4 linked regions of the Rhinolophus ferrumequinum genome follow. The protein of the gene in region 4 interacts with the protein of the main gene of each other region in a pairwise test. Links are inferred from orthologs where the notes say so. Each region holds a gene or a part of one and is shown on either strand. Other genes may lie near its edges. The genes, in order: CCNC, ZMYND19, CSTPP1 and PNMA5.

Region 1 (6,962 bases), on a different chromosome or scaffold from region 4:
TTAAGGTATATTGGATTCCACTTGGTAATACTTTATAATGTTTGCATCAATATTCAAAAGTGAGACTGTTTTTAGTACTACTTTTGCTAGATTTTACCAGCTTCATAAAGAAAACTGTATTGTAGCTTCATAAAGAAAACTGGAAAGCTTTCTTTCTTCCCATGTGAACTAGAACAATTTCATTATCAGGACCTCTTGATAGTGGGAAAAAAATTACTCATGAAATAATGTGGGCTTGGAGCATTTTTTAAGGAGTCGCGCTCTAACTTTCTTAATTTATTTTGACTTTCAAATTTATTACCATGGAGATAACCCAAAGGTACATCTGGGTTTACCTTTTTCATTCCTAATTTTGTGTTTTTGTATTATCCCTTTTCACCTGGATTCAACTAGCAGTTTAGTCTACTGTTTTGGTTTTCCCTTCCAAAGAACCAGCTCTTACATAATTTCTGACTATATTTTTTCCTTTTAATACATTAATATCAGTGTTACTTTTACTCTTCTTTTTTTCCTTAGGTTTATTTTACTGTTTCCTTTTTAATATTCTTAAGTAGAATATTTGATCTATTTTTATTTCTAAGTTATTCAGGATATTAATTTTATTACAAATTTGGCTTTGGCTACAATATATGGATATACATTGATGTCATTATGTTATTTCTTTGATATTATGTAACTGTATTTTCAGTTTCCTCTTTGATACAATAAAGTATCCAGAGTTAATTTTATATTTTTAATTTTTGTAACCTGTTCATTAATCCATTCAGTCTAGAAAGTATTTAGTGTCCTTCTAGTTTGACTGCATCATAGTCAAAGAATGTGTTGTGTTCTAATACAACTTTCTAGAAAATACTGTGATTTGTTTTTTTTCCAGAATTATCATTAATTTCATCTCTAGTCATTTTGTTTTTAAAAAAATAAATTTCACAAATATTTAAAAGTTTTTCCTCACAGCGCATAGTATGGAGTATAAACCAAAACTTATAAATACCTCATTTCATCAAAGATGACACTGATTTTAAGATTCACTATTATGCCATGCTGATTTCAGAAATACTCAAATGTGCATCTTAGAGTCATGAAATACAGCATATTTCACGTCAATTTTCCTTTCACCAAAATCACCTAAAACAATGGCTTTCATAATTATTTTGTTTTTCCAGAATTGTCTTGTCTTTCATACTTGTTACCTTTTACAGAGCAGGGACTCCATGCTTGTCAAGGAATTTGAGAAAGTCAAGTGGCCCCCTTCCATCAGGACTATTTGAATTGGAAGGCAAGGCGTTTCAAAACAGCACATTTAATATTATAATAATTTTACACTTGAAATGTGAAAAATTGTTTTTATAAAATAGATCCTGCCCCTCTTTTGATAAGCATTCTCACTGTGGCATAATGCTTATCAAAAGGCGGGAGGACCTTTTTTTTTTAAGTTGAAAAACATAAATTCTGACCATCAATAGCTAGCTAGCTACCTATCAATTCTCGCACCTTCTTTCAAAGTTCATCAGAATACCTCTTCTCCACTGCCTAAATTTCGTTATTTTAATTTTGCCCAAGCAAATACTCAAGTGAGTGAAATGTAAAAGAAAAATGTGGTCAGAAATAATGCTTCTATAGCATTTCATCTCCACAGAATCGCTCTAGAGCAAGAAGAAAACTTGATTTCTGAAAATAATTTCCAAGCCCATTGTTCCTTTTTTCCTCCTGCAAAGGGCTAAAAGAATGAACAGAAATCCATCTTTTTCACAGAATCAAATCTAAATTACAGTTACTAATGCTCTTAACATTAAAAATTATTTACACTAAGATATAATCTTTATCAGGTTGCGTTCGTCTTCCAACTGTACTTGGAAAATCTAGTCAAAGTTCACTCAGTCTGGTCACCCACCTTCCTGACTGCTTAACCAAATGGATGTAGGGGAAAATATTTTAAATATTACTCTAGCTCTTCCATGGTCACTGACAGAAACAAAAACTTCTAAAAAACGTTGAAGAAATAGGCAACATCAATGGAAAATACACACTTAAAATATAAGGCACAGACCAATGAAATGGATAAATTCTGAGCGCACCTGCCCTGTACCTTACCAACATAACCCTCCACGTAGGCATAAGGTAGTGGCAGGAATCAGTTAGTGTGAAGAAATAAGTCTGGCTCCCCCTCTCCTCAAAATAATATTAAATCCACTCAGGACAGAAAGTGAATGACAAAAGACTGCGATGCCAACCCACTGAAGAGATCCGAGGCAAAAAAATGAACCACAACTATCCTGAAGAGCCAGCCTCACAGTCCAGAACTGGGTCACATTTCCCATACCTGTGCCCACCCCATCCTACCCCACCCCCTTCCAGGCCTAGCTAATGCAAAAATACGAAACTAAAACCCCGAACCTTCCTACCTCGGAGACCGAACCCCCTTCCCCCACCTTTCCCGCTAACAGATCTTCCCCACCTTCCAAACCCGGCCAGGGGGCGGGGAGAGAGGAGTTGCCAGAGAAAGACGCATCCCGCTTCCGGCCGCAGCCGCCTCCCGGGAGACTCCGCGGCACTCGGGACAGGGGCCGGGATCCAGGCCAACGGGAGTCGCAGGCCCCGTCCGCACCGCCCCCCAAGAGCCAGCCCACGGTGAGAAGACGGAAGATCACTTACTAATGGGAGCTCTGCCAAAAGTTCCCTGCCATGGAACACAGCTTGCCCTGATAAAAAAGCACCAGCCGGCGGAGCGGCCCGCGGAGCGACCATAGACCCAGCCCGCCCGGTAACCGCGCTCCTCAATCTGATCGGCTCGGCTCCGCTCCGCGGCGGCGACGGTAAGAGGAAGAGGATGGCACCCAATTCTTCTTGACGCCGGCCGGCAACACTCTACTGTGTAAAGCGGTTCCTATGGATAAAAGTTCCGGCCCGCCCCCGCCGTGGCGGAGGAAGCCGGCTGGGAGGAGACAGCCTGTGGTCGCGCTGAGATAGTGCCTGGGAACTAGGCTCTCGCGAGACCTTCGCGCCAGAGCTGGAGCCCGCGTGGTTTGGTCTACTGGGGGTAGTGCCAATTCGCGAGTGGGCAGGCAGTTGGGAAGCAACCCAGTTCAGGTTTTGTTTTTCCATTTTACACGCTTCCAAAGCGGCACGGTGGCATTGTGTTAAAGGTTTAATGAATTCAATTCTTTCTCCTGTGATTGGAAAGAGAAAGATTATTTTGGCCTCAAGGCACTACCAAAACCTACTGGCACCAAGCCGCATACGTTTTTCATGGAGTTCTTTTGGAGTGAGGCAGAAATATTTAGAGTAACAATGTTTTGTTTTTTTTAATGCCAGAGAACCACCAGTTTTGCAGAACAGCTAAAAGCATTTCTCTATTACATGTATATGTATATACACACATACATATTCACATATATGTACCAAATAGAAACATACAGCCAAAATTGCAATAATTTAATTTTACAAGATGAAATAATTTGTATTTTCCATTTCTGTTATCATTGTGATATTGCAATTATTGTAAAACTTATAATCATTTTTCCAAAGATTAGGCACACTTAAAAGTTACTGATAGGTCAGTGTTCTGAGGTAGCTTGGGACAGTATTTTTCACACTGTGGGTGGAGACCAATTAGGGGGTGGTGAAATTGAGAATGATAAGCATTTTCCTAAATTAAGTTTTAAATTATCAGGTATGTTAGAAATAAGGATATTATTTAAAATTTTTTGATTCTTGGCAGCCGGATGGCTCAGTTGGTTAGAGCGCAAGCTCTCAACAACAAGGTTGTTGGTTCAATTCCTGCGTGGGATGGTGGGCTGTGCCCCATGCAACTAATATTGAAAACTGCGACTGGACTTGGAGCTGAGCTGCACCCTCCACAACTAGATTGAAGGACAACGACTTGGAGCTGATGGGCCCTGGAGCAACACGCTGTTCCCCAATAGTCCCCAATTTTAAAAAAATGTATTTAAATAAAATAAAATTTTTGATTCAGTTACATGTTATATAGGTGCTATCTCAAGATATGAAATGTATTTTTAGTAACTTAACAAAAATATGTCACACGTCACTTCCATAAAGTCCTATAAAGTTTGATGTGGATTAGACTTCTCTCCTTGATGGTTGATCTTCAAGAATGCAGTATGTTTCCATCTTTCAACTACTCTCTCTTGGTTCTTTGCCTCCAGGCTTAAAATCTTTCTAGAGAGAATGCCTAGGACTCTCTCACTGGCTCTTAATCAGCGTCAAGAGACTTAAACCTGAAACAACAATCACTTCTTCTCTTCCCATTGTCCAGAATAGGAACATGCTTCTAACTTAACTGCAAGGGAGGCTGAGAAATGTAGGGGAGCCGGTAGTATATTTGATGAACACTACTGTCTGCTACACTGCAGATCACAGTCAAAAAAAGTTTGAAAGGTAGTAACTTAAGAAACACCAAACCCAAAAGATATATGAAAAAATGCTCAACTTCACTAGCTATTAGGGAAATGCAACTCAAAACCATAATGAGATACCACCTCACACCTGTTAGAATGGCTACTACCAACAAGATAAGTAAAACAAGTGTTGAAGAGGTTGTGGAGAAAAAGGAACCCTCATACACTGGCGGTGGGAATGCAGATTGGTGCAGCCAGTATGGAAAACAGTATGGAGTTTTCTCAAAAAATTAAGAATAGAATTACCCAGCAATCCCTCTTCTGGGTATCTACCCCAAAAGTCCGAAAACATTTATCTATAAAGATACATGTACCTCTCTGTTCATTGCAGCATTATTCACAGTGGCCAAGACATGGAAACTACCAAAGTGTTCTTCAATAAATGATTATTTAATGAAGATGTGGTACATATACACAATGGAATATTACTCGGCCATGAAAAAAGATGAAATACCACCATTTGCGACATGGATGGATCTTGAGATTATTGTGCTAAGCAAAATATGTCAGAAAAATTTGAGAACCATATGATTTCACTCATGTGGCATATAAAACTGAAAGCAACAAACGAACGAGATAAACATACAAACAAAAAAAAACACAGACACAGACAACAGTTTAGTGGTTACCAGAGGGTAGGGGGGGAGGAGATGGTAGAAGAGGGGAAAAGGGACAAAGTGTATGGTGATGGAAGGAGAACTGACTCTGGGTGGTGAACACACAATGCAGTATATAGATGATGTATTATAGAACACTTAAACCTTAAAACCTATATAATTTTACTAACCAATGTCACCTCCAATAAGATTAATAAAGATAAAAAGTAATAAAGAGGTTGGCACTAAAAAAAAAGCAAAGAAAGAAGGAAAGAAAGACCAGGCTCTAGGCCACTAGGCTACTTCATAAAGGTTCAGAATTTCTTTAATTCTCTCAGAGGTTGTCAGCCTGACATCATCCAGAAGATAAGGGTACTGCGACAAATCAGTATTATTAAATGTTTTGTTTTATGTGCCCCCATTACACTATTTCTTTCACTAGACAAACATTGTTTCATGCCTAATTCTGCACTCTTCTTCCCACAAAACTGAGTTCCTTCATCTTGGTATCACCATTCATTGAGGGCATAACACATAGGCACAGCAGGCAATGGTATTTGGGGAGTAGGGTGCTTAAAGAAAAAATGTAACATATGGACATAAAATCAGGTTGAAAAGTAAGTATTTAGAATGCAAAAAGAAATCATAACAAATTACTACAGCCTTGAAGATTCAGGTCCTTCTGTGAACTGTTCTAGGCAATTTAACCAGAAATATTACATAGAAATGCTTCCCACCTGCAACCTGGTTTCTGCTTCCCACCCAGAATTCCAAATGCACAACAGCGCTGGTGCTCCCAGTGGCCACTCAAGTCAGGGGTCTGAAGTTTTGGCGTTACTATTTTTAGACTAAATTGTCACTGAGGGTACTCCAGAAGGCAGGTTGAATTGAATGATTTGAACCAAAAGCTAACTTTATTTAAGGATATCTGGTGGAATACAGCAATGTACAAAAGCTGTTAAAATGCCTAGATATCAACTTATCTGGATGCAAAAGATGATAGGCCATGTAGGTTTGTTTCTTTTTGCTGATAGCTTTTTGTGTTGTTTTTTTTTTTTAACTTTTCTTTATAGTTTTAGGTTTTTTTTTTTTATTGTTTCTCAGTCCTCATACTTGTGTGATTTAAACTTACTGGAATCTATTAATCAATCTTGTGCCTTGTAATTTTTTATTTATCTTATGCTTTTTAAATAAGGATGTGATTAATAAATTCTTGATACAAATGTTGATTCTTCTGTGACAAAAAAATATTTATCCTTTTTCCTTTTTACAATGCTTTCTCCAGCACCACGAATACTATTTCTCAGAGCCTAGAAATTTAGGGGCTTTATCAAGCTCTCTTACCTAGTTAGTGGCAAGAACAGCTAGAATCCATTTCTTCTGATTCCCAGGGCAATGAGCTTTTCACCCAACTGTACAGCTTCAATAGAACTATAACGACTAAACTACTATAGACACATTATTTCAGGTTTGTAGTAGAAGTTTCTCCTCCCAAACACTATTAGTGAAGACCATCTTCTCACTTTTAATTAAATTATTATTGTAATTTGCTGGGGTACTAACAGTCTTCGTTGTGAAAATATCATCTCCTCTATATTCATTCATTATGTCTTCGTTTATTTTAACTCCTGGATACTTTAGTTAAGACGAGTAAACCTCTAACTTATGGTAAAGTGTACTAGTTAGAAATTCAGTCTCTAAACTACACTGATCAAGTTCAACTAATAGCTCTGCCGCTTGCTAGTTGTATAACTGCCTTAGTCAGTTCAGACTTCTATAACAGAATACCATAGTCTGTATGGCTTAAATAACAAACATTTATTTCTCACAGTTCTGGAGACTGGATAGTCCAAGATCAAAGTGCCAGCCCGGGTCCTGGCACCTGGTGATTCGGTTTCTGGTGAGAAACATCTTTCTGGCTTGCAGAAGACTGCCTTCTTGCTGAATT
Region 2 (7,334 bases), on a different chromosome or scaffold from region 4:
CCCACGGCACCAGCTGCAGATTGTCCAGGCGGTTGTCCACCGTCACCGCATTCAGATGTACCACCTGGAAGCCGGGGGCGATGCCCCCTCGGTGCCGCTCCCTGGGGGCAGACAGACAGGTCTCTAACCCCACCTCCCAGACCTACCCAAGCCTGTTAGCCATGTGGTCTGAACTGACCCTCCTCACACGGCCGTGTAGGGGACGCAGCAGGAGCAGGCTGCCCAGAGGACTCCACGTGTGTCAGTCTGTGGCTCAAACGTACAGACCACGTTGGCAGGTCAGCGAGGCTGCAAGAGGCCATGGCTGGAGTCCCAAACCATCTAACACACGGCCTAGAAAATGCCCCATGTGCACGGCCCCCCGCGTTTTGGACCCCACAGAGCACACCGAGGAAAGCCATCCTTTCCCCACATCCCCCTAACAGGCCCAGCAAGAGCCCAGGAGGGACGAGGCCCCATGCTCCCCCAGAGGACACTGTGTACCCCAGAACGAACACCGGAGCAGAAAGGGCACTTGGTGGCTGAAAACTTTAGGCTCCCCTGCCAGTGCCACAGTGTGTAGTCACTCATTCCTCACTTAGTGGCAACGATGCAAAAGCACTATCTGTAAACAAGGGCAGGTGGCTCCACTGGCTCCACACACATCAGGACTCATGCAAGACCCAGGGATGGAACAATAGCTCAAAAATACTCACCACAGCAACTCGTGAAGAAGCCTTCCTGACCCCCTTCCTCGATTTTTGTCAAAGGCACATGCAAATATCTTGGCGCCATTTCCATCTGCGTCGACCTCCATCCTGGCCTAGGAGGAATGGGAAGAGATCTGTTAGAAAGCCTCTGATTTTCGGCAACATTTTAAACACCTCTTAGAAACACTGAGCGACGTGAACAAACAGAGGGACAAATGCCAGGCCTGTTCCTGGGGCCCTGGGAATGTGCAGAAGCTCCCAAAGACACGCGGCACGGATATGCCAGCGTGCCCCAACAAGCACCCTCTTCACCCTCATGAATTCAAGCAAGACACTCATGAAGCACTCTGCACAATACGTGGGCACAGCGACATAAATCCCCGCCCCTCCGAGAAGCCCACAATCCCGGGAGCAAGATGAACCCCTGCACAAGACACCATTGTGAAAACGTGAAGGGCAGAGATGGGGGTGCTGGCCCACAGATGCCTGGAGCGTGTCCCTAAGGAAGGAGTGAGTGACACAGACAGAGCAAGGTGGGGCACTCAGAAGATGAAAGGAGCACTGGGCACCAGGACAGACAGTGGGGCCAAGGCCAGAGAAAAGGTAAGTTGGCATGGGACAGTCTCCCAAGGTGCCGGGGCCTGTCCAACTGAACATCCAGTCACAAACGTGACAATTTGTTCTGTTTTTCAGAAAGAGCTGGCAAGAAGGGTGGACGTGAGGGAGGCCCTGCGTGACACAGGCAGCACAGACCCGTGTCCTCATGCGAGGTCCTGCCCTCACATCTCAGGGAAGAGCACCATCCCTCACGGCCCTGCCGGGCACTGACGGACAGCAGGCCTGCAGAGGGAAGGGGGCCCTTACCTCAAAGGAGTAGCCCTCCACCAGCGGGATGTCTTGCTCGTCTATCAGCGTGTACTTGGTCTAGAAAGCAACCACATTTCGAAACATTACCTTGGGGATCTGGCGGAGGCACTGGCAACAGGCAGGGGCGGCCCATCAGCCTAAGAGGGGGCCGTCACGGGGCGGAGCAGCCGACCGCTGCGCAGGTGGACGTGCCAATCGCTGGTACCCCTGGAGCAGGTTTCAGGCCTCGCTGCCACCCGCACCCGACTAAGCCTTCGAGGTGCCACGGGACTGGCCGGCCAGCCTCTAAGCTGTGCGTCTGAATGATGTGCCAATAAACCCAGTCCAACAGGCGGCGTCGCTGGAGCAGAGACGAGCCCCGGGCCGAGGCAGAATATCCAGAAGGTTGCAGTGCTTGCTGATTAAACGGGACTCGGGACTCAGGTGCTCACTGAGTTGTCCTTTTTAGCTTTTTGTCCCCAGCAAAAGCTTTCGAGGAGGACATTAACACGACCGGTCGGTAAGTCAGCAGGAGCCTCGGACTGCGGAGAGCCCACCCTTCTAGTTAGAAAGCCGCACGCCGCCTGCAGGACGGGCAGGTAACGGCCTCCGGACCACTCACTCTCGCCTGGGAAGCTTCTTCTAGGATCTGAGTCCGTTTTACCTTCATCTCACTGCCTGTGCTCCTCTCTCCCCAGAAGCTTCCGCCGCTTGTGATGGGAACAGGGTTCCCATCCAGGGTAAGGTCCGCGGCTGGTGCAGCTGCACGGCCGGCCGGCTCCTGGAAACAGCCAAGCCTCGATGACCACAGGTGCTAGGAAGCCCCCGCCTCGAACACGCGGAGGGCGGGGCCGAGTACGGGAGAGAAGCGGAGGGAGGCCCTGCCCCGGCGAGGCCCACTGAGGCTCGGCCAGACGTGGCCACCGCTGGCAGCGTGAAACCTGCGCGAAGCTCCACTAGGACCCGAAGGCACTGAGCGGCGCGCACACACCGGCCTCGGCAAGGAGCGAGCGCGCCGCATCGCAGGGGCGCTGCGCTCTCCGCGCCGCAGGTGCAGCCGACAGCCCCCTCCTCCCCGGCGCACCGTCGGAGCCCCAGGCCGCGGCCGGAGGGCAGCCCACCGCGGGGACAGGCCGCCCGCCCGCCGCCCGCACAACCGCCAAACCCTGCGCCGCCAGTCCAGCCCCGGGCCCCCAGCCCTGCGCCGCTCACCTTCCCGGCCACCCGGCCGAGCCGCACGATGCCCAATTTGAAGTCTGTCATGGCCAGGCCTGCGCTCGGCCGGCGGCGCCGCTCCCTCGGGAGGCGCCGAGCCGGGGCGGGGCCGCGGCGCGCCTGGCGAGCCGGGCGAGCGGGCCGGGGTCGGGTCCGGGCGGCCGGACGGGACGAGGCTGGGCCGGACTCGGGCCGCCGCCGCCTCGCGCCCGCCGGACCTGCCACGCGCCGCCGCTGCCGCCGCGCGCACCACAGCGAGCGGAGGCGAGGGCGGGGCGCGGCACGGACACACCCCCGCCCGCCGCCGCATGGCCAATAGCGGGGCGCGCCCTGCACCGGCCGGCGCGCGCCGCCACGCCGCGGCCAATGGGAGGCGGGCGAGAGCGCCGGCGCGCTGAGGAGCGGGGCGAGCGCGGGGGAGGGGCGCGGCCGGGGGCGGCGCCTGCGCGGCCGCCTGGCGCTACGTCAGTTTCGCGGGAAGCTTTGTGCGGGCGTCGGCGCTCCGAGCTCCCGGCCTCGCGCCGGCAACCAACCCCCGATACTGCGCGCGGCCCAGGGGCCTGGTTGCGCGCCCCGGACCGTCTGGCAGGACTCGCTGCGGCTCCCCATAAGCGGTCCGGCGTCCGCCGGGCAGCCGGCAGGCGGCCCGGTGTACGGACGGCACCCGGGAGTTGCGGGGCCGCGGTGGAGTCGGGTCTGGGGTGGCCAGTGCCTGCAGGACTTCGAAGACGGCCCGGCCCGAGCCGAATGCGGCTAGCTGGCAGGGCCCCTGACCGCCCTCCTTCCTCCCCGGCCGCCCGCCGTCTCCTCACAGAGGCGGCGTGGGGACCACGGGCCCCGCCCCCCGGCCCTGGCTACACCAAACTTCCTTGTGCCTCAAGCTCCTCTACTGAGACGGGGCGATTTCCAGGGCACTGACCAGCCTGGTCCAGGTCCTTCCTAAACAGCAACTCCAGGGCCTGACGTCTGGGGGTGGGGGGCCTCTGCCTACCCCCCCGTCTCTGCTGGCGTCCACTCCCTCCACTACCCACGGAAACGCCTCCACACCAGTGCACATAGCAAATGTCCACCCCCTTGCTCATCTTCCAGGGAGGGAGGCAGAAAAGGCCTATGATAAGTGAGTTATACGCCCGTGTTAGAAAGTGATAAACGCTGTGGGGAAAGGAGTGGATCAATGTTGGGGCGGGGGTCCCAGTGAAGGTGGTGAGCAGAGTAGGGCCTCGCTGACTAGTCAACGTGAACAACCAGTGAGAGGAGAGGGCGCGAGACGTGGGCATAGAGGGAAGAGTCAGGGCAAAGGCTCAACTGGGAACACATCTGGCGTGTTTGAAACATCAAGGTGGCCATTTTGACCAGACGGGTGAACCGGGAGTGAACCAACAAGTGACGCCATTGGAGGGTTTGAACAGAGTAGTTTTCCAATGCATCACTCTGGCTAAGGAGACAGAGGGGGCAGGCAGCTGGGTCCCTCCTTTGGTTGCACTCACTCGGGAATTCACTGGAGCACCTCACTTCTCTTCCATATAACCTCTCTGTGTCGTATCTCACTGTACAGGGTTTCCCCACGTGACCAGGCAGGACACCTGCACTTCCTTACAGCATAGAGGGCGCTTCCCATTGGGCAAGCATTTATTGGGCCTCTGATGGAATTATGCTTTCTAGTACCCCACTGGACAAAGCGATTCATGCAGGCAAGCCCAGAGCCAGTGTAGGAGGGCTGTGCAGCAGAGCACAAGTTCTGGGAAGTGTGGTTCACTGGTGGGGGCGTGGGCACCAGTGGCACAGCCTGCCCCAGTCTGCCCTGCGGCCCCTGTCACAGCAAGATTGCACTCAGGGCCTCCTAAGACCTCCAGAATTACTGTCTCATCAAGGTACTGGGCTTGGGGTCCATTGTTTTATGATGCACAAAACGGCCCGGTGTGGGCAAGGCACGTTGAGTGTGGCTCCTTTTGCTGCAGAGGCCTGTTGTCTGTACCCCAACACCCAACATTCCATTCCATAGGACAAGAGCTAGACATCCCCTTGAAAAAGGAGGAGTGCACTGTGGAGTCACTGGTCCATAGCAATTTGAAATGCAGCCAGGCATCTGTCCCGATGTTCCTTTAGCATGGATTGTCTGCTCCCTGTAAGAGCTCTCCTAGTCTACTGTTTTCAGCAGTTCTTGGCTTTTCCAGGACCTTGGCCCTGCACCTCTGTCATCCTCCCTTTTCCATAGGAAGTAGCCCATATTTGCTGCTGGGTAGCTTCCTCAGCCAGCCATTTGCCTGTAGAAAGTCAGGGGCCCAAAGCCCTCATTTATTTCAAAGTCTGTCCATTTGAATTCAAGCAGAATACAACCCTTTTTAAAAACCTGTGGATTTGGGGGTGGCCGGATGTTTCAGTTGGTTGGAGCACGAGTTCTTAGCAGCAGGTTTGCCAGTTCGATTCCCACATGGGCCAGTGAGCTGCGCCCTCCCCAACTAGATTGAAGACAACAAGCTGCATCTGAGCTGCTGGAGGGTCGGCTGGATAGTTCAGTTATTTAGAGCGCAAGCTCTTAACAACAAGGTTGCTGGTTCAATTCTCACATGGGATGGTGGGCTGCGCCCCCTGCAACTAAAGATTGAAAGCGGCGACTGGACTTGGGACTGAGCTGCGCCCTCCACAACTAGACTGAAGGACAATGACTTGGAGCTGATGGGCCTGGAGAAACACACTGTTCCCCCAATATTCCCCAATTAAAAAAAATTAAAAATACAACTGTGGACTTTCTATGTATCAAATTATAACCTACTCCATTAGACAAAAGCTGCACCGCAAATGTTTTTGAGAACACTCCCCTCCCTTTGGTTTGCCTTCTTGTGTGGAAAGAAGCCAACTGGCCCTTTAAGCCGCTGCCAGGAAAATCATTAGATTCACTTTCTGTCTTCCACATTACCACAAGCAGCGGTCTTGCCATTTTTCTGTCAATATCCATCCCGGCTCACGCTGTCTCCAGCCTCCATCAGCAATGCCCTCACTGCCCTGCAGGTGTGTGCACCTGCTGCTGGGTTCCAAAGTCAATGGCACACTTTGGAATTTTGTAGTGGCAATGTGTCACTTCTAAGGACCAATATCCATTCCAGTTACCTGTTGCTGCGTAACTAACCACCCCAAACTTACTGGCTTAAAACAACTATTCAGGTGCTCGTGGTTCTGGAATCTCGATTGGGCTCAACTGGTTGGTTGTGCTGTTGGCTGGTGAGGCCAGTTGTCTCCTGTCGTCAGCACCAGTTCCTGCTCTGTCTGTATGTTTGTGATGCTCCACCTGCACTGGGCCTGTGACTGTTTTGATGCATTTAATGTGGTAGAAAGTTATGGGACTTCACAGCTCAGGCCTGAGGACTGGTCACTACACCCACCTTCCTCCTCGGGGGCCTATTTTCAGAACGAATAAGAAACTGGGGTGGTTTGTGCTGCAGTAGTCGATAGCTAACACGGCCATGGCACTGGCACAGCCAGTCACTGGGGGGTAATTGAGGCAGGAAGTCTGAGCTGGTGTCACTCACGTGCCCGGGCACTCTATCTCTCCCTGTGCGATCTCTCCAGCAGGTTAACCAGACATTTTTCGTGGCATCTTGGGGCTCCCAAGAACCTGCAACTGGCATGGCATCTCTTCCATCCCAGTACTGCCAGTTAAAGTTCAATGGGAAGGAATGGAACCCACCTTCTGATGGCAGGAACAGCGTGAACTTAAGTAAAGGGGTGGGAGAAGTGGTTGGCAGACATCTTTGTAGACCAACCGACAATGCCATCAGGTGCTGTCAGCTGGAGAAGGTTCTTGGAGGAGGGGAGTCGGCGTAATGAGAGCTGTATTGGTCATGGCTTTCATTTTCTGTATTCACTTTGACATCTGGGGACTCTTGCTGCTGGGGACAGCCTGCCTCTCCCAGGCTAGCTAATTCCTAGAGACAGCAAACACGCCTCCACAAGCAAACCAACCAATGCAGAGCCCACACCAGCCACCTCCTTCATCTAACTCGCACACCGGGCCAGGATTTCCTAATCATCCTAATCATCTGATCACAGGTGCTGGACAAGTAGAGCCTGCCCCAAGCCGAGCCCACTGAAGTTGCTGACACTGTCCCATCCTAAGGGCTCAAACTCACCTGCACTGCCTCACTGTTCCTTCCCACAGAAAACAATATGGGCTCTGGGCCGTGCTGTCCCTCCCCACTGCCTCCGGAGCCATGCTGCTACTTCCCACGTGACCCTATGTGGTGTGGCACTGTAAGTACTAGACTTGCAAGCAACTGTCTCTGTGTCTGTCGCTTTACCTGATTAAAACTAATCCTGGGTACATTTTAAGACAGAGGCCAGGAGGTTGGAAGGGTCACCTATGTGGATTCTGAAATTGCTAAGAATTCTAACAAGAGTGGTACTGGACAGAGTGACAGTGAGTCAGGAGCTGACCTGGCTGTGGAGAGGAGTGACAGCGGAGGCTGGTGGATCATTACCCAGAACACGAGTTAAAGCTGGGAGCTTCAAGGTCGAGGGGAGATGGCCCCATCGGCATAAGGAACGTCCACACTTGTAGAGGGTCTCTCTGGCTTATTTGGGCCAAAG
Region 3 (7,243 bases), on a different chromosome or scaffold from region 4:
ATATAATTTAAATGGCAAATACCCAAGGAAAGGAACAATGGACTAAGCTTTTCATAGATTCATTGAGTACTGGATAAATAAAATAGGTAAAGTCCTTAGCAAAAGTCTAGGTATTGCTAGACACTGATATTATTACTCATTGGATACAAACTTATCTGTCATATAAGTATGCCCTTTTGGCTGATGAATGGATGTGGTCAATTAATCTCTCTCTCTCTCTCTCTCTATATATGTGTGTGTGTGTGTGTGTGTGTGTGTGTGTATACACATATATATAGGTATGTATATATATATATAAAATATATACCTCTATCTTTATATATAATATATATATATATATATATATATATATATATATATATATAGCTTTCAAAAACCAAACAGCTCTTAAACTTGGCGAAAAGATGCTTAACTTCATGAAAGAAATGCATATTAAAACTACGCTGGAACTATATGTCACTTAGGTTGAAAATATACAAAAGTTTGTTATATTTTGTTGGGAAAGACTATGGAGAAGCAGGCATGCTCTTATATTGTTGGTGGCAGTGTAAAATGGTACAATGCCTAGGAAGGGCAATTTGGCACTATCAATATTTAAAATGCATATACCCCTGACCTGTCAATTCCACTTTGTGCAACTGATCCTTGTAGATATACCAGTAAAGGAACGAAATTACAGGTTACTCAGTGCAGTATTTTTAGTAATAGCAAAAGGCTAAAAACAACATATTGTCTACCAACAGAAAATCGATTAAATAAATTATTTAAATACTATGCAGCTGAAAAATAAAAAGAATGAAAAAGCTCTCTACTGATACAGAAATTACTCTTAGATATAGTAAATGAAAAAAGTATTCACTGTATTGTCCCTTAGGTACATAATAAAATAAACTCTAGAAGGATACACAGGAAACCAGTAATAGTGGTTACTGGTCGGGGCTGAGTATGAATGAGAACTGGCAGGGGACAAGAGGTGAGAGGAGACTTTTCACTATAAACTTCTTTATATTTTTTAATCCAGCTTCCACATTACCAATTCAGAAATTTTAACTAGAATTGTTTGTCATTAAAAAATATGTACAGGGCAGCCGGATGGCTCACTTGGTTAGAGCACAAGCTCTGAACAACAGAGTTGCTGGGTTGATTCCCACATGGACCAGTGGGCTGTGCCCTCCACAACTAGATTGAAAACAATGAGCTGCCACTGAGCTTCCAGAGGGGTGGCCAGATGGCTGAGTTGGTTAGAGCACGAGCTCTCAACAACAAGGTTGCCGGTTCAATTCCCGCATGGGATGGTGGGCTGCACCCCCTGCAACTAAAGATTGAAAACGGCAACTGGACTTGGAGCTGAGCTGCACCCGCCACAACTAGATTGAAGGACGACTTGCAGCTGATGGGCCCTGGAGAAACACACTGTTCCCCAATAAAAATTTTTTTAAAATATGTACAGTACATACATAAAATTGAATATTATTCCATGACAAAAAGAAATCAAGCTAGGAAAAAACATGGAGGGACCTTGAATGTATATTGTTTAATGAAAGAAGCCACTTCTTTCACAATTTATAAAAGGTTACATACTGTCTGACTCCAACTCTGTGACATTTTGGAAAAGTAAAACTTTAAAGACAGTTGAAAGATTAGTGGTTGCGAAATGTTGGGGGTCGGGGTACAGATGAGTAGGTGGAGCACAGATATTTTTAGGGCAGTGAAACTATTCTGCATGATACTATAATGGCAGATACACGACATTATGCAGTTGTTAAAATCCATAGAACCAACAACACAGACAGAATCCTAATGTAAACTAGGGACTTTAGTTAATAATAATGTATCAATATTGGCTCATCAATTGTAACAAATGTATTACACTAATGCCAGATATTAATAATAGGGGAAACTCTGAGGAGGTGGGAGGGAGTACATGTGAATGTTGTGTAATTATCTGCTCGATTTTCTGTGATCTTAAAACAGCTCTAAAAAAAAGTCTATCAATTTTTTTTTTTTTTAAGGAGGGCACAGCTCACAATGGCGCATGCGGCGATCGAACCAGCAACCTTGGTGTTATCAGCACCATTCTCTAACCAACTGAGCTAAACGGCTACCCCAAGGTCTATTAATTTTTAAAAATTTGTGTGCATACATCCTTTTTTTCATCCATTAAAAGTCTTACACACTTAAGACACTCAATAGAGCTACAGCCCTAGTGGACAAGAGCTCAGGTTCTGGAGTGGGCAAATTAGATTCTGATCCTAGCTCTACCATTTTCTAACTATGTGGCCTTATTTATGCAATTTACCTCTTCAGCCTCAGTTTCTCCGAATGCAAAATGGAAAAAAACACAATATTTCCTCCTAGGGCTGTTTTGACGATTCAATAAAGAATACATGTAAAATGCTTAATATAATGCCTAACGAAAAAGAAACGCTCAAAAAGTAGTTGCCGCTATAACAAAATGTTATTCACAGGATGACTGATTTGGCACTTCAGGTTCCAAGGTTACTTCACTACCTGCATATCAATAACATTCCAAAAGGGCCCCAAATTCTCAGCTCCCAGCTAACCCACTTTGGACACAATCCACACTGCCTGAGCTCCCGCTCGTACACTTCAGATATTCTTTACTCCCCAGATGCTGTTTTCCACCTCGCTCGGCCTTACAGGCTCAGGCCCTGGACCGCGTCTCCCTCCCCACCCTCCCCATCTCACCCCGATCCGTTCCCACCCAGACCCCGGCCTAATTCTTCTGCACTTCTTTCCTTCCCCGGGGCTGAAGGAAGCTCCTACCCAGATAATCGTAGTCCGGTAGGGCTAGGCGCTCCGGACTCAGCATCCTTTGACCGGGGTAGCTTCCAAGCTTTAGCATCCCAGCTTCCGGAATCCAGGTCGCCCGCTCTCTCCGTTGCCATGGCACCCACGCAGCGGGAGGAGAGGCAGGGGGAGGAAGGTGTGTCACGCAAACACTCTCCGTATCGCAACGCCAAGCTGGCCACACTAGTTCCGGAAGCGGTCGCTTCGCGGCAGTCGAGGCTTCTTAGGGCCCCTATTGTAAAGGAGTTGGTGTTAGAGGAATTTGAGGTGGAGAGTTCTTTCGAATCCATCATATTTCCCAGTGTCGAAGAATTATTGCCAGCTCTCCATATCTTCGATTTCTGAATTTCATAACTATTCCTGCTTTATACAGCTGTTATCCTAACTCACAATGGCTCCCACCCATAAATTCCCATAAACACTTACTATTCCGTTACCTATTTTTCTCTCTTTATTATTGATTACCTTCAGTTGCTACAAAATGCTTTCACGTGCGTATATCTTGGCTGCTCCGTGAGGCCAGGGAAATGTCTTTTCTGCCCCTAACTAGCCTGGACACACTGAAGGTGCTGATCAAATCCTCTAAGAGTTCATTGACGATCCCTCTCAAATCCCTCTTTATCTTTAGTTCTTCCCTTCACTCCTATCCCTTACTATTGGGTACCCTTCCAAGGTGTCGTTCTTTTTTTCCTACCAAGACACTTCACTTCTTGAGAGGATGGGATACACAAACCAGGACACCTATTGGATTTTTCCCCTCATATGCCAAAATTGCTCACTTCTTTAAGAGGGGAGAACAAGTTCCAAGAAGTCCAGATCCTTCTTTTTGGCTCCCCTCCACTCCCAACAACAGGTTAGAGGTCTGTAGCACTTGTCACAATTGAAACCTATTAGAAAAAGCGATTCTGTTCTCACTTTTTAAGTTAGTCCCTTTGCCCCCGCCCGCCCCCCCAAAAAAAACCAAAACAAGGTGAGGTTTTGAGAAAAGAAAGAAAACAAAAATCATGCTATCAAAGGAATGACTGGGAAACCAGTGGACCACCTACATTGGGAGGAAAAGGGAAGAGGAGGTTCTCTTCTTTGTGTTTTGAGTGGTCTATTCTTAGCCTCCTCCAGCAGGAGCTTCAAAACTCCTAATTCTCCCTTTCCCTTAAAATTGTATATGTCTCGTTTCTAGGCTCCTGTGAGTCACTCTGAGTTTGGATGTGGTAAGAACAAAGGGACAGACCCAAATTAGGAACAGCATATATTATCTTGAGGTAATGAATTTACTAATTTGATATTTGATGTGAAGTCCTGCAAATTTGATTTAAAAAAACTTCCTTCTTTCCCCGCCCTCACCCACTCCCCATTTCCCTAACCAGTGCAGTTTGAGGGTATGGCAGTTTCATAATTTACACACCCATGGCTTATTACTACATTATTAATAATGTAATAGGATAGTAATCATTAATGATTACAATTTCATTTTATTTCCAAGCAACCTGAAGCTATTTGCAGATCATTTCATTTGTCCTCATAAAGACTTTCTAAGGCATTTCTCCTTTTCCAAGTAGGAAAACTGAGGAACATATCAGGAAAATGACCTGTCTAGCATCATCCGGCCAATCAGTGGGAGAGCTGGAACTGTATCTCAGTTATCCCAGCCTCCAGGCTAGTGGTCTGACCACTAAACCACACAGCCTCTTTTTTTAGGGTTTGTTGACTTGGTTTTTATTTATTTATTTTTCCTTTTGCTCTGCCCTGCCAGCAACTGGAAGCTCCCAGATAAAAGAAGAGACTTTTGAGTCCAGGCTGACCATTTGACATTCTCTTATTTGTGGAGCATTGTCCTGGGACTTGGAGGGTGCTGCTGCTGAGGTCTGTGTGGTGGAGCTGGGAACCAGCCCCAAGAATATAGCTTTGTTTGGGCATTAACCCATTTGCGGTTATAATAATGACAAGTTTCAGCACCAGTGGCGCCCGACTGTTAATGACTCAAAGAAAGCTAAATAAGAACAAGATGTCATCTCTGGAGCAATTTGTAGGTTTTTCCTACAGCTCCATCCCTTCCATAAAAATCCTAAGGACCCTTATATTTAAAGTCAGTCTTCCACTCTTACTGTCCTGAACAGTCTATTGAGGAAGAAGACTCAGAAAATGGTAGGTGGTTACTAGACTAAGCCTGCAAGAAAATTTGGGGTTGCACAGAAATAACAGGTAGCCTTTTACTGGTGGTGGAATTACTGACTGCTTACACTTTTCTTCTTTATAATTCCCTGTATTCTCAAAATTTTTCTATAATAGGCACATATTATAATCTGAAAATACATAAACAACCCAATATGTGGCTTGAAAAATCTTTAAAATATTCTTTAAGCAAAAGTGATGACCTTCCAGATAGTGTTTGTTTTTCCCAAGAAAGAGCTACTACTTTTAGATTTCTCTTCTGCCATAGATTACATGATAATAGATTTTGGCAACACATCAGTGGTGGAAGATATTTTTCAGTGACACAGCCAAAACATCAGTCTTAAGGAGAGTAGAAATACATAAGAGTCGTTAAAGCCAAGTGTATTTTTGTGACCCTGTTGAATGTTAAGGAAAGAACAAAAAGTCAGCCTTCAATTTAGATGAGCTTTTCAAGTCCTTAAATTATCATATTTCTGAAAAATTTCCCTAAACAAAGAAGCATCTAGTAAATCAAAAAACAACTCCACAATACTGAAAATAAGCAGGTGATATGAAATTGATCAAAACACAGAGAGGGCATGAGATGTTAAAGTATTATAGCATAAGGAATGGAAACAGCAAATTGAAAACAATAGGAGAGACACCCACGAGAGAGGATATGTTGATATGTCAATTTATCAGATTATAATTCCTAATTATAAATAGAAAATTAATAGACATCTCTGGCTTTGCCAAGAACCTATGAAGAGATTGCTAGGGAAGAAAATCTTCCCTGGAATTGAAACCACAGAAAAGCAAACATAAGTGTACTAAATAGTTTTAAACCTCAAGGAAACAATAAGGAAAGAAAAAATCCAGGCTGGCTGAATTATTGCTACAAAACAGGTTCAAGAAACTAGGACAGGCTTTTATCAGCTCATCAAGCAGAAAAGATGCTAAAGGCGAAGTAGCTAAGAAATGCAGGTCATAAAATTCATTCTGAGCTACTAGGCTCTTCTTAAAAGATTTACCCTCCTTAAGAGCAAAGCAGCAACTAAATTCGATGCCACTGTATAGGATTAACATGTTTACATTAAAAATGCTACTTACAGACAAGGCATTTTGGACAGCCATGGTCAACAGACTGGAGAATTTGCAAAGAAAAAGAAACATCCACAAACTCTTGGACAGTTAAGAATAACTAATACATTATGAGAAAGTGAGTAAGAGGACATGGCTTAAATTGAACTACAGCTCAGAGACAATTACAGACTTGTACCTTCTTGTTATTTTATATTTTCGAATGCTGCAAAAAGAGTTAGGAATTACACTTTCGTGTCATTTGAAAGGGAGGAAGATTTCCGATTTAGTAGCCCACAAAAATTAGCTGTGCCTTCCTCTGTCCTAGACTATACGCTTTGATAAACACTTATATCATTTAAAAATAATTATTTGATATCCCCATTAGATTGTGAATTCCTTGAGGGCAGACACAGTCTTCATTCATCTTTTAAATATTAGGACCACGCACAATTCCTGACAGAATAAATGCCTGAATACCATAAATAGAATTTCCCCCTGTAAATTAAAAGTCTAGAAAACGAAGCCCATCCAATTCATAGGACTTATGGTTGCCTCAGAGGAAGCAATTCACAAAACAAATTCATTAAAAAAAAGTCCAGCAAAATGCAAGGCATCATTGAGAAGGGCATTAAAAATCAATCAGAAAGCACTGGCATATCCTTCCTACACCTAACTATTGCGTGTGACAGATCACTAAATCTTAAGAAATGCTCAGAAAAAAAGCAACTAACTCAACAAAAAGCATAGAGACAAGTTAGGAGAATTAGTTCAGGAGGATGGAATGGAATACACTAGGAATCATTAAATAAACTTAGGATATGAACTGAAAGCCCCAAATTTCAGAATCTTAGGACGAAAAGCTGCAGTCTCTGTCTGTTTTTTCCTCCCCCAAGCCATTCTCTACATTGTGACAAGAGTTTATTGCCCGAATATTCAAATATGAGCATGTTACTTCCTTACTTAAAAAGTGTTGCTGACTCACCATTACTAGGATGAAGCAAAATTCCTGAACCTGCAGATATACAGTATATCCCTTCACAGTCTGCTCCCAACCTACTTTTCTAGCCACCTTGCCATTCACTCTTCCCTACATACTTAATACTGCAGCCACACTTTCTTACTCACTGTTTCCAGACATACCTTTCACACCCTCTTGCTTTGGCATAAGCTCTTCTCTCCACCTAGAATGTACCACTCC
Region 4 (7,154 bases):
AACCGTAGCAAAAAAACAGAGGTTTTCTCCCCAGACAGCTGAAAGCTCTGAAAAAACTTAAACTGTGAGGTTCTATAGTCCTCTTTACTCCCAAAGATCTGCCTCAGAGCGTCCAGGCACTGCTCCACAGTCATGGAGTCATTGTTAGCCAGGAGCATCCTCATGATGGACAGGGCAGGGCCCCGTAGGCTCTCCAGCAAACGGCGCCTCTGTTCTACCATAGACACTTGCCACACCTTCATAATCTCAGTGACGTGCTCTAGCCAGACTTCAAAGTTCTCTTCACCTGAGCCTGGGAAAGTATTTCCCGAAAACACTTTAAGTTTTCGGTACCACATGGTTTCTTTCAGAGGCTGAATAACTGCCAGTTTGAACTGGGAAGAACCCTCTGGCTCCACGCTCTCAGTGACACTGCTATACCCCAGGATTTTGGCCACATCTGCCATTTTCCGGCCCTCATCCTTCAGGAAGTAGTTCAGTCTAGCGATGAAATCGTCATCTGAGTTACGGGGTTTCACCACCACTTCCCAGGCACCTCCCTTTCCTGGTATCTCACTGGGTATCGTAGTGAAATTGACAAAGTCAGCCAATTCAATGAAGATGGCCTTAGCATTGTCTTCCCTTCTGAACATTCTGCCCAGCACCCTGTAGGCGCACAGGGGCTGTAAGCCTGCCTTCACGGTCTCTTTAATTTCCATCTCACTACACTCCACGGGGATCCCCACAATCAGCAAGGCCTTCCTAGGGTCCAGGTCCATCCCCTTGCACCAATCCTCTAACAGTGTCACAGCGGCCATTGCTTCCACTTTCTATGAACTGATCTAATACTAGGGGTAGTAATCTGCTCAGAGTTTGACCACAGCTCAGTGAATTCTGAGCCAATGCCAAGCACAAAGGCAGAAGTGTCCGAGGTTTCCACAGCCTGTAATGCAATTGGGGTGAAAGCATCATTATCGCCAAGTCCCCTCTATCAAGAGCCCCTTCTCTTCCCCCACTTCCACTCACAGGAATTCAGTCCCTGCTTCCCAGGGCTCCCCTAGTCATTTGGTGGAGTATAGACTGTAGAGGGGCCTCCCAGTCCAAGCTCCCCCCACCTCATGCCCTCCCTGCTGACCTCCTCCTGCTGTGGGTTCCTTCTCAAATTCCAAGGACTCTGCTGCAGGTGCTGCAGGTGCCTGTAGTAAAAAGGCCAGCGTCAGGAGGCACGGCCTGATGACTGGGGACACTGAGAAAGCCCTCTAAGCAAGAGAGGACAGAACGTTCCACTCCCTGGCTCAGGGCTGTTCAGGCCTCAGGCACCTGGCACCTCTTTGCCAGGGCAAAGGGAGGAGGAGGGAGATGCAGAGTTCCCCTCTTTCTCAGAAAATGCCCGACAGATGAGAAAGATGGCTGGAGTTCTGCGCAATGCAATGAAACTGGTGGGTGTGGAGAGCCTGTGACAAGCTGCAGTGTTGCCATGGATACTGAGAACAGCGTGGACCATGGGTTTCTATCGCAGACTGGTGTCATGTGGTAAGGTTAAGGCCCTCCAGGAGCAACAGGTGATGTCACTGGCCTCCAACCAATGTAGTGTCCCAGCAACAAGGGGGGGTTCGGGGGAGGGAAGATGGGGGTGGGCAGCAAGGATGGAATGCTAAAAAATCAAGAGCTTATGATTTTAAAATGTGTGGGAGCTGGAATCGGGCAGAAAGGGGACCCAGAAAAGGTCACCAGTGCCACACTTCAGGAGACAGACAGCTCTCTGTCTAGGTATGACCCTACCCTGCAGAGTCTGTACATCTTGGCAGGCAGCCCCTCCCCCTCCTGATCTTTGCCAGGGTTACAGAGGCTCCTCCCAACACAGGCCCTCCTCACCACCACTCACCTTGCTGAGTAGGCCCCTCTGCTGGTGTGGATACAGGGATGCCCCAGGCACTCAACACTCAGTCAACTCTCCAGCTGTCCACAGTCAGGCAGTTCCTGGCCCCAGGGTGTATGGGGGGGGTACTGTTCCACTGGACCTGTCCCCAAGACAAGGCAGAGGTATTTTGATAGGGTTCTGCCCCACGTGCCCCTGCTCAGGCTGTGCCAATTCTAAGTTTGCAGAGCTGGCCACAGGTACCCTGGTGCAGAGATACAAGAAACTTGTCACTGGGGTCCACTGTTATAGCAGGAGGAATCCCACTTTAAGATTATTGTCCCCACCCTCAATTTCATACCCCCACTCATACCCACCTACTGCCAAGTCACACTCCTTTCCAAGGCTTACCCCCACTGTAGCTCAACCTCTGATCCAAGCCCCCCCACCAAGCCCCACTCCTACCCAATCCCAACCCGACACCAAGCCCCGCCCCTCCCCAAGCCCAACCCCTGACGCCAAGCCCCGCCCCCACCCAAGCCCAACCCCTGACACCAAGCTCCACCCCTACAGCTCAATCCAAGCCCTGCCCCCCACCTAAACCCAACTCCTATTCCTATTCTCATTCCCCTAAACTCCCCTCCCCCACACTAAACCCCCTTCCCTAAAACCTCCACCCGTTACACACCCCCTACCTCAAACACCCCCCATTCTGTAGTAGGAATACATCTGGTCAGTTGATGTTGGCGGGGGCCAGGAGAGGAAGGGCTGAAGCCACTTTCCTTCCAGAGCAAGGCCGAGAGCCATTTGTTCTGGATATGCAGACTGCAATGGCTCTGGGCAGGGTTAGGCATGGAATCAGTTCCTCTGCAGTTCCCAGGCTGGTTGCTATGGCCTGTAAATGGCAGGGAGCCCGCGGGGTGCCAAGCCTGATCTAGTAGGATCCCATTTCCAGGGGGCCCCCTGTGATGCCAAGGAAGACGGCAAGGGCCACTGGGGACAACGTCCTGCGGTTTGGGTTGCTCAGGGCCCCACTCCTTACCTACTGGAGATGTCTGCAGGCCAGACGCCAGAAAACCACAGCCACCACGCTTCTGTAGCCCCGGTGCACACTGGGCCAGGAGTTAGGGGGAGGAGGCTATAAAATAAGAAACCCTGGCGCCCCCAACAGGGGCACACGGCCTGCTTGTCCCTGCGCCATCGCAGAATGGTACCCTCCTCCCCCTTCGAAAGGGGGTGCTCCTTGTCTCAGCCCTTGTTCCTCTCCCGATGCACTTGGCGGAGGTGGGGACAGAGAGTTCAAATCAAGCTGCGGGGGAGTGTACATTGCAGTGCAGAGCTGGACTGCTCCGGCCTTGGGTTATCTCCAAAGAGACCACCAGGCCTGCCACGTGGAACGCCAGGCCCAGGAGCCATTGTGGCTCTTGTTACATTGTCTCTTCTGTACTCTACCCGAGCTGTGCGGTAACAATCACCAGTGCCCCTCCTCAAATTTGAAAATTGCAAGTCATCACAGGGCCGGGTGCAAAACTAAAGCCCCAGAGGGTGCTTTCTAAAGAAAAGTCCTGATCCCTGTTTATTTTTTCTTCCGCTGTGTTCTAATGGAGCATGGCAACAATACAGCTGCTCCCTGTATTTCCCAAGGGCATGGAAATTTTTGGAGTTCACCAAGAGACAGAGAAGGATTCAAGGATTCCATTCTCCCATTATTCTCTTGACTTTATGAGCAAGTGGATTTACCCATTACCCACCTAATAGTCAAACTGCTTCCTGCCCTTTTCGAAAGGTTTCTTCCACTCAGGGAACATTTGCCCTGGGGCCTTCAGGACCCAAATGCGCTGTTCAACAATGGGCGTTAGGGGGCTACAGGTAGCACAATGGAAAGTGGTCTTGATAACAATGCATGTTTGCATCAGGAGGATGGGGTGAGTGAGAGTCTGTGTTTCTCGAAAGCTGGGTGACTCCAATGCTACAGATCTCTGACTAGGCTTTGAGTACCAAGGCTCTAAAGCCTGTAATTACTTTTCAGATCCAGAAATTATGCGCCTTTGGTGAAAAAATAGATTTCTTTTCCTTTATTAGGGATACAAGTGAACAGGCTGTCCTATAATGCTTTAATAAAAATATTTAAAGGAAATAAAATTTTAAATGAAAGGTTACTGAGCAACATGTTTGTTCCCCTTCAACGACATTTGTTTGCTATGTCTGAGAAGGCCTCAATAGGCCTTACATAATAAGAACACACTATTAAGAGTCTGTTAACTCTATCTCCCATGCCAAGAAAAGATGGTTACCTGGTGCTGTCAGAGAGTCGACCCCAGGTGGGACATTTTACCTGAGGGTTCTCATCATACCAGATCACTGTGGTTCCATGAAACCACCACTGAGCCACTTGGTATTATAGGTATTACAAGGTATCACAAAGGGTGATAATCATGGAAAGAGGTGTGCTGGCCCTGTGATCCTGGGAGGTTAAGAAATACCCCTGAAAACATACATTATATTAGCTTCAGGTGTACTACATGATGCTTCAATTTTTGTATATATTGCAAAATGATCACCCCAATAAGTCTAGTTAACATCCATCATCACACATAGTTACAATTTTTGTTCTTGTGATGAGAAATTTTAAGATTGACTCTCTTAGCAACTTTCAAATAAGCAATATGGTATTATTAAGTATAGTCACCATGCTGTACATTACATTGCCAGGATTATTTATTTTATATGTATGTTTTTGTGTATGTATGTGTATGTACTATTTCAAAGTGAACTTATTCTGACAAAACTTTATTTTAACAGTAATTATATTTCATATGTAGTATGTCAGCCCTAAAGGTTTCAAGATCTTTAGGTAACTTAAAACCTTATACTAAATTAAGTATATAAGGTATGCAGGATGTGTTTTTGTTAAGGACAACGACTAATTTTGTCCTAAAGTAAAATGACTGGCTGTTCCAGAATGACAAAGACGAAAGCGTAGGACTATGGATGAAAAAAGGGGTCCTATGGAAAGGAACTTCACAGGGTGATGTGATCATAAATTCCTAATTGGACAGGCCATGGTGGGTAGTCAGTCATGCCTTAGGCCTGTAACTTCTTCAGTTTTTTTTTTTTACAAATAAATTTGCATCTCTTTTATTTTCCCAATTATAACTTACTCGCTGACATACCTAATGTTAGGAAATAGGTGTCTGTCTTGAAACTTCTCACTTCATAATTGTCCATGAATTGGCTTATTCAGACCTGATGGAATTTTTTCTTTTTCTTTTTAGTGCCTAAAAGCCAGAGAGAATTAGTCCCAGGGCATTCCAGTCTATTTCCTTACCATGGCATCACTATTAAATGGTGCCGGTATCTGGAAGAAAGAGGTCTCTGCTGAAGAACAATTGTGCCCAAACAGGAATCTAAAAAAACTTCTTTAGTTTTTAAGCAAGCCCTGTCCGTTTTTCTTGTGCATCTAGGTCAACACACCTTTGAAATACCCCCTTTCAGACTCCTCAGAAGCAAAACCACACTCAAGAGAGCACATAATCTTATTTCCTCTCCTGTAATCCAATCTTGGCCTTGCTTCCTCCCACCCCCATGTAATCTTCCTTAGTTCCCTCCTTAATTTCAAATGCATAAAAGAAGCTGCAACATTGTTAGTCTCTGGAGCATTTAAGATCTTTCTTCCTGGCATATGTTGTCAGATTGGCTCAAACAAATTCTTATAAAAATTATCTACAGGTTTGGACATTTTTTATGCCAACAGGACAAAACTTGAATCAAAATGAAAGTTGTAGAAGGTTCGTAGAAAATAAATTTTATTTCTTGTGGTCATAACTGGCTAAAGTTCAATGGGTTTATTTATGAGCTATTTTAAAATGAGCTGTAATATTAAGCAGTACACTGATGCGAAACTAGAATTTGATTTTCCTTGTTAAAATGAGAAAAAAAACTTAGATTATTGGTAGGCTCTTAGTAAGAGGCTGTAAAAGGTTTTGCTTTGCTATATATATGCATTTATATATATTATATATATATAGATAGAATATATATATATATATATATATATATATATATATATATAATACAGCGTATTTCTCCAGGGCCCATCAGCTCCAAGTCGTTGTCCTTCAATCTAGTTTTGGAGGGCACAGCTCAGCTCCAAGTCCAGTCGCCGTTTTCAATCTTTAGTTGCAGGGGGCGCAGCCCACCATCCCATGCGGGAATTGAACCGGCAACCTTGTTGTTGAGAGCTCGCGCTCTAACCAACTGAGCCATCCAGCCACCCCTCTGGAAGCTCAGCAGCAGCTTCTTGTCTTCAATCTAGTTGTGGAGGGCGCAGCTGACTGGCCCATGTGGGAATCGAACTGGCAACCCTGTTGTTCAGAGCTCGTGCTCTAACCAGCTGAGCCATCCAGCCACCCAAGGTTTTGTTTTGTTTTGCTTTGCTTTCTGAGTAATCAGCCTAGAAAGCAAAGATTCTGTGTCTTAGAATAATTTACTGTCCTTCATGTTGACTTTATCATGTCATTAATTGCTTGAGAACCAAACCTTTTCAGTTTTGAAAGAACTAAGGTTCTTTTCAGTTGCGTTACTTCCTATCTTTTCTTTTAAAATGTTTTGTCACTTTGGTTAAATGGAAAGCCAAGGAGTGTTTCTCATTGACACATGATATTATTTAGCCAAGTGTTCAAACCTCCCAACAACTTTGATATTTTGCCTTCCTAAACTCAAATCCTAATTGATGTATTCTTGATCTCGACCTTCTTTGAGGGACCCTGGAAAATCACAGGTGTTAGAAATAATTAGGTTTATTTGATATATTGAATTGCATGGGAGGCTTTGTCAATCAGAAGAGATGCCTAACCCTCCCTAAGTTAAATTCGTGTGGGCAAAATGTTATTAATATAAATATTTCACTATTACATTGTTTTGTACAGCTGAAACTAATTTTAAAAATAAAAATAAAAAAATATTTCAGAAATTGTATGAAGTTCCTAGAGATTTGCCAATACCGTCACTGTCCAGAATATGTCCTGGTTCTGCTTTGCCTGATATTAAACAACAGTATAGCATTATCAATCATAATTCTAGTTATCTTTTAAAATGTTGCATGCCACAAAGTGGCTCCATAGTCATGGATAGTGCCTTGGACTTCTAAAGTGTTGCATGCCACAGAAACAACCAAATTTGTCAATTGCATGATTTTTGTAATGAACTCTCATCAGATCTTTAACCATGGGCATTTTAAGTCATTCACAGATAATTTTTTGTTTTACACTGAATCTTCCCTGAAAGTGCTTGCAATCAACTACAGGCCGGAATGCTT

Evidence for each region.
Region 1: the proteins of PNMA5 (region 4) and CCNC interact in binary tests that used the Homo sapiens proteins (3 or more experiments, as listed by UniProt). The two-hybrid records come from large-scale screens. The link is inferred for Rhinolophus ferrumequinum from reciprocal best matches to the Homo sapiens genes PNMA5 and CCNC.
Region 2: the proteins of PNMA5 (region 4) and ZMYND19 interact in binary tests that used the Homo sapiens proteins (3 or more experiments, as listed by UniProt). The two-hybrid records come from large-scale screens. The link is inferred for Rhinolophus ferrumequinum from reciprocal best matches to the Homo sapiens genes PNMA5 and ZMYND19.
Region 3: the proteins of PNMA5 (region 4) and CSTPP1 interact in binary tests that used the Homo sapiens proteins (3 or more experiments, as listed by UniProt). The two-hybrid records come from large-scale screens. The link is inferred for Rhinolophus ferrumequinum from reciprocal best matches to the Homo sapiens genes PNMA5 and CSTPP1.

What each region holds. Positions count from the first base shown.
Region 1 is NC_046286.1:54,286,906-54,293,867, forward strand, and holds the start of CCNC (cyclin-C), read right to left. Parts: upstream 3,024-6,962; 5' UTR 2,685-3,023; coding exon 2,653-2,684; intron 1-2,652. UniProt on the Homo sapiens protein: Component of the Mediator complex, a coactivator involved in regulated gene transcription of nearly all RNA polymerase II-dependent genes.
Region 2 is NC_046295.1:83,566,135-83,573,468, forward strand, and holds the start of ZMYND19 (zinc finger MYND domain-containing protein 19), read right to left. Parts: upstream 3,009-7,334; 5' UTR 2,799-3,008; coding exon 2,748-2,798; intron 2,565-2,747; exon of another isoform or gene 2,206-2,564; coding exon of another isoform or gene 2,200-2,205; intron 1,614-2,199; coding exon 1,554-1,613; intron 803-1,553; coding exon 696-802; intron 102-695; coding exon 1-101. UniProt on the Homo sapiens protein: May be involved as a regulatory molecule in GPR24/MCH-R1 signaling.
Region 3 is NC_046294.1:14,138,761-14,146,003, forward strand, and holds the start of CSTPP1 (centriolar satellite-associated tubulin polyglutamylase complex regulator 1), read right to left. Parts: upstream 3,001-7,243; 5' UTR 2,867-3,000; coding exon 2,788-2,866; intron 1-2,787. UniProt on the Homo sapiens protein: Regulator of the tubulin polyglutamylase complex (TPGC) that controls cytoskeletal organization, nuclear shape, and cilium disassembly by balancing microtubule and actin assembly.
Region 4 is NC_046284.1:7,195,731-7,202,884, forward strand, and holds the start of PNMA5 (paraneoplastic antigen-like protein 5), read right to left. Parts: upstream 3,014-7,154; 5' UTR 2,880-3,013; intron 2,226-2,879; exon of another isoform or gene 2,215-2,225; intron 2,001-2,214; 5' UTR 1,865-2,000; intron 1,401-1,864; exon of another isoform or gene 1,176-1,400; 5' UTR 1,115-1,175; intron 923-1,114; 5' UTR 798-922; coding exon 1-797.